Linked DNA regions of Kluyveromyces lactis. Each later gene encodes a partner of the first gene's protein in a complex. Links are inferred from orthologs where the notes say so. Each region holds a gene or a part of one and is shown on either strand. Other genes may lie near its edges.

Region 1 (3,128 bases):
TGATTTTTGGTCATTCCAGCGTTGAATTGAAGAACACCAAGACTCATTGGTGCATACGATTCAATCCGTTCCATGCACTTAGTCAAGTAAAACTTGGGGATTCTGGGTTAAGAGTGTCATATTCCGAGAAATGGATCAATTCCAAACTTAAGAATAGTCAAGTGACAAACACAGAGGAAGGATTACAATTCGGAAAACATTGGGATTGGTCCTATACGACTTTATACAATGGGACTGTGTCAGAAGATAGTGAATACAAGTTTGTTGTGGATAACCAGTATCAGCTTCCAATAGAAAAATTAACAAGAAGAGATCCCATTTTATTCTATGATGATTTCATTCTATTTGAAGATGAATTGGCAGACAACGGTATCAGTATGCTTTCGATAAAACTTAGGGTAATGGCAGAGAGACTTCTTTTATTATGCAGATTCTTCCTAAGAGTCGATGAGGTCTTGTTTAAAATCATTGATACAAGAATATATGTCGAATTCAATGAGGACCTTGTTGTACGGGAATGGAAATATATGGAGGATGATTACAAGACAGTATTGAATAAATGTAGATTAAATTCAAACGATCCTAAGAAATCTTTGAGAGACAGCAACTGGGTTGCGTCTGTATTACCTTTGAAGGAGCGCGTATGTGAAGTATTGAGGAAAAAAGAAGATATAGAAGAAGTTGTCGAATAAGCACTCACCGCTACTGTCGAATTGACAGCACTTTTGGAAAATTCAAGAAAGAGTTGATTTGCTCATTCATGAATCTACCTATTTAATTATGTTACCCAAAAGGAATAATATACAAATCTCGTAATACATGTGATAATATTATATACACACTATTCAAGTTTCTGAATCCAAAAGGTATCTGGATACGTTAGTGATTTCTCTGTTATCATTATTTTGCTGAAGTTCTTGCAATTTTCTTACAGCTAATTGAGTTAATTCAGGTTTTTTATTCAGTTTCTGAGATGTCTTCAATACAATACCCCAACCTTTCACGTAGGCTTCTGCCAACTCAACAGATCTCAACGCATTTGATAAACTTGATTGCAAAGCAGCTTCAGGGTCAGAATCTGATTGAGACTTCAAGTAATGCAAATAAGCTAATTGACCAAATGCTTCATAACTGAACGGCACCCCAATTATGACTTCTTCCATGCAATATATTGCTTGACGTAGGTCCCCAGCCTCCTGGTATTCTTGCGAAAGTAACGACCATATTTCTGCATCTAGAGGAAACTTCTCAACCAGATCCAGTAGTTCTTTTACCCATTTTTCTTTACTCATCGAAGGTCTCTCTATCGCAAGTAGCCTTTTCTTCATCTGTACGTAGTCTTCTGAATCAGTAGCTATTTCCAGCTGATTCTTGATCAAATCCTCGATATATTTCTTAGCCGCATCATCGGATCGAGTGACCTGTATTAACATAGAGTGCATCACATGAATTCTTGGAGAATCGTCACCTAGACGATCTGTCACAGTTTTGTACAATGTTTCAGCCTCTGTGTCTTCACCACGAACAAGACAAAGATAAAACAATAATTCGACCATTGAGAAATAACTAATTTCGTCAAGCCCATTTAACCCAGCATCTATCAAAAGTTTCGTTTCCTTATAAGCCAAATCAATTTCTTTAGGTGGCAGAATGGCCCATGCGCCAGTCTTATGGATTGCCAGTAATTTGTTCTTAAGTAAATCCATGATATGAACAAAGTTAGATTTCGACCCTAAGATGTATGTGAGATTCGAGCACAATTTCAACACAGTAAATTACTCACTAAATTCCACGAGCAGTAATTGTATTGAAGGTATTCAAACATTTAACACCACCATACGTATCTCACCCATGTTATACCCTGTAATATGTCTCTTACAGAACCGATGCTTAAACAATCACAGAGCCAAATGAATCGTTGGAGCTAAAGCACGTGACACATGCTCCGTTTCGACATGTATTTTCATATCACCATAAACGACGAAAATTTTTCAGGAATCAAGGCCTCAGTATCTGATTGCCACACGCGAAGAGTTGAAGTTGAACTTCTAAGAGATGAGATGAACTTCTTCCATATACATGATTCAAGAAGGCGTTAATGACCCCGTTTTACAGTCCAATACAGGATCAGTTCGAACTTACTTTTAAAAGTTTTTGTGTTTTCCAGACTTGAAGAACGTCAAAGACACGGTGGTAGCAGAAACAAGTGACTAGAGATTAGTAACAGTAGCCGAAGATGTCAATCAATATTTGCAGAGACAACAATGACCCTTTCTACCGTTATAAAATGCCTCCAATTCAGGCTAAGATTGAAGGTAGAGGTAATGGTATCAAAACTGTTGTTATGAATACCATGGATGTTGCCCGTGCTTTAAACAGACCAGCTCCATACATCATCAAATATTTCGGGTTTGAATTGGGTGCCCAAACTGCTATCAATGTTGAAAATGATCGTTACATTGTCAATGGTGCTCATCAACCAGCCAAATTACAGGACGTATTGGATGGTTTCATCACTAAGTTTGTCCTTTGTGGATCCTGTAAGAATCCTGAAACTGAAATTGTTATCACTAAAGATGGTGATTTGGTTAGAGACTGTAAAGCTTGTGGTAAGAGAACCCCTATGGATTTGAGACATAAGTTGTCCTCGTTCGTCTTAAAGAACCCTCCTGACAGTATGAACGGTTCCAAGAAAAAGAAGAAGGCTGCCACTGCGTCTGCTAATGTCAGAGGTGGTGGTCTTTCTATTAGTGATATCGCTCAAGGTAAATCCCAAGCTGAAGCTGGTGACGATGCCGAAGAAAACGATTCCGATGATGATGAATTGGCCAGACAAATTAATGCCGCTGCCTCTAACTTGGCTACCATTGAAGTCAAGGATGAGGACTGGGCCGTTGATATGTCTGAAGAAGCCATCAGAGCTCGTGCGAAAGAATTACAAGGTGAAGCTGACAAAGAAACTGGCGAATTCTCCAAGTTGGAAGAATTTGGTGAATGGGTACTACATGAAGAAGAACTACCTACCGATATTGAATTATACAAAAAGATTGCAGAACTCGAGCTTCTGGAAGATCCAAAGGTTGCTGCAGTTCTGGCCCAAGTTCTTTTCGATGAAGATATCGTATCGG
Region 2 (2,713 bases), about 570 kb from region 1:
CTTCACGTTTCAATATAGCACCAGGAGTCTGGTACGAGTAGTATCCGTCTTCGCTGAGGGCAGCTGTTACTGGATGGAAGAACAATAAATGTGAACCTGAAAGCGATATATCGTTTGATACTTTTGCTTTTGGCAAGATAGATGTAACCAAAGTCTGATACCTCTGTACCGTCACCGGATTGATGTAATCACTGATATGCCACTGCATTGCCGCGAAAACTAACAGCTATGTGGATATGGTTGGCTTTTAAGGATTCCCTTTTTTTTCTATACTGTTTGATGTGAGGTTTACGATTGAATGCCCAACAGTTTTAAATTCATTCATTACTTGTTTATGACGATATACAGGTAAATAAATTAAATAAGATGTGAAGTGGGATACAGTTCTATCGAGTTGGTAGTAAACACTACTGTGCATGATATCGTGAAGCTGATTGGCAGTCTAATTGACTGGAAAGTCAAGTGCAAAGTGAATTATCGTAACAGCAACTACAGTGTTACAGTGCAAATGAGAAAAGCATGATCGATTGTTGATAAGAAGTGAGTAATGGAGTTGCTTAGTTTCGATCCTTTTAAAAAGCCAACATTGGTAAATCTTTCACTTCAGTCTTTCCATCGAGCACTCAATTAATAAACTCAAGGCAAATTGCTCATCAAAATAATCCATGTCACTAATTGTAATACATTTCGTATTCGTAGAGTTAATTGAATGTTTCAACCACTCCTATCCTATCCAAGCAATAAAAGTCAGTCGTCTGGTCATTTCTTTGTCTTCTTGAACGTATATATACGTAGCAAGATGGTAAAACATGAAATTATTTCTGTGATCCACTGGATAAAAAGACATAGGCGAGTAGCCCTATGACAACGTACTTCCAGTTTTTCTGAAGAAACGTTTTGTTCTCTACAACATCTTCTTCAAATGCAGCGGTCCCTGTATCCTTTCTCTGAGCTTTTTTCTTTGCCTCGTAAGTCAGAGTTCTTTTCTTCAACTTGATACTTTCCGGTATGGGACCATTTCCAACCTCCTTTATCAGTGGTACGATGCCATCAATACTATCATCTGCATGAATCGACATACGAACTAGTTTATCATCAAGTACCACCAGCTCCAGTTCGTATGACAATGGTTGCTTTATATGGATGAAAGAGAAACACTCATCGTAATAATCTTGAAAAGTCCCACAAACTTTATATTCACCGTCTGTAATTCGATTGGCTGTCACAGCCAGGTTAATACCTACCTCATCACCAGCTTCGAAAGTTGCCAGGCTGTACCTTTCATTCAAATTGTTCAATAAGTAAAGATCACCAGTACCTTGTAGAGATGCCACTACCGCACGCAAGTGAAACAGAAGTATTAGTAACAATTGAATCATTTTTAGCATAGCTAATTATTTGAAGATAAATCCAACCAGTTTTCCGCTGTGTTATATGATGGAAACACCAGTCTATGCTGTGAGATTCATCCTTTTTATTATTACATTTATTCAGTTTAAGGTTTAAAATTGGATTAATTCGATTAATTGGATTCTTATATTACAAACGTTTAAGTTTACTTAGTGGAAAGTACAAAAATGATATACGGAGCTATTATTTGTTGGCGCATTGTTGTCAATTCGTCAGAGGTTGATTGTAGCTAGTGTATCTGCCGCCTTATATGATATTTTTACCAGTTACGTCGGTGGTGTTTGCTATCTCATGGATTTATTCAGGTGTCTCAGCATTCAATCCATATAGCTCTACGCCTTATTCGCTAAAATACGTTGATGAGCAAGAGTTCCTAAGTGTAATAGATAATGAGACATTGCTCCAAGAAGGACGGCTTTTCCGCCCCTACGAAGGGTCCGATGTTTTGTGTTACCAAAGGAACACTTCGTCGTTGATTCAACATCATGAAGAAGATACTTTTAATTCTGAAGGAGCTCTCATTGAAGCAGTTAACATGGTTAATGCGATCTTGGCTCCAAACCCTATTGAAATGAATACAGTGCCTATTTCTTACTGGACTTATATTATATCCTCTGGTGAGACGAGGACTGTTGTGCAAAAAGGTTATTTTGGCGAAACGTACCTTTTAGGGAACTCATCTAACTACAACTCAACTATTGATTATCACTTTGCTAAGAGTAAAACTGGTAGAGTGTATCTTAGCGAAACTTTGGTAGATGGTTGCACTTGTGATCTTACACATAAACCAAGAGAGGTAGAAATACAATACATCTGCCCTAAACGTCCACTATCGAGGCCTTTCCATCTTGAAGTTAGAGAAATACAATCCTGCAAGTACCAATTGAGACTGTTTCTACCACAGTTATGTGAACTTAGCTCATTCAATCCGTTGCTTGGTCAATTATCTGAACACAACATAATATGCCATAGAAGCGGCAGCAAATTGAGTCCTGCCCTTGATATATTCAACAGGTATTCGGCTACTGTACTTGATCATGGCATATACCTATTAAAACCTAAAAATAGTGCGAAGGATAGGCGTCAATTGATGTATCACGCTGCTGAACCACTGGATTCTCAAACTACCCTCTTTGAGCTCACAGTAGAAGAAAGGTTTATTGGAGACTTCATATCTAGTCTTAAGAAATTGATTGGTTCGGACTTTATACAATCACCCACCGGGAAATCGATCAAACCTGGTGATCTATTTCTATGGAGAGCGCCTGTAGTAGATGAAACGGGAAATCTGCTATTTTTAATT

What was found.
Region 2: EMC2 (region 1) and EMC10 share a complex: the UniProt entries of both Saccharomyces cerevisiae proteins name them as parts of the ER membrane protein complex. The link is inferred for Kluyveromyces lactis from reciprocal best matches to the Saccharomyces cerevisiae genes EMC2 and EMC10.

The regions. Positions count from the first base shown.
Region 1 is NC_006041.1:552,991-556,118, reverse strand, and holds EMC2 (Emc2p), read right to left. Parts: upstream 1,707-3,128; coding exon 846-1,706; downstream 1-845. Other genes in the region: TIP41 (Tip41p), read left to right, coding at 1-692; TIF5 (translation initiation factor eIF5), read left to right, coding at 2,237-3,128. UniProt on the Saccharomyces cerevisiae protein: Part of the endoplasmic reticulum membrane protein complex (EMC) that enables the energy-independent insertion into endoplasmic reticulum membranes of newly synthesized membrane proteins.
Region 2 is NC_006041.1:1,123,068-1,125,780, reverse strand, and holds EMC10 (Emc10p), read right to left. Parts: upstream 1,389-2,713; coding exon 816-1,388; downstream 1-815. Other genes in the region: hydroxyacyl-thioester dehydratase HTD2, read right to left, coding at 1-208; YOS9 (Yos9p), read left to right, coding at 1,661-2,713. UniProt on the Saccharomyces cerevisiae protein: Part of the endoplasmic reticulum membrane protein complex (EMC) that enables the energy-independent insertion into endoplasmic reticulum membranes of newly synthesized membrane proteins.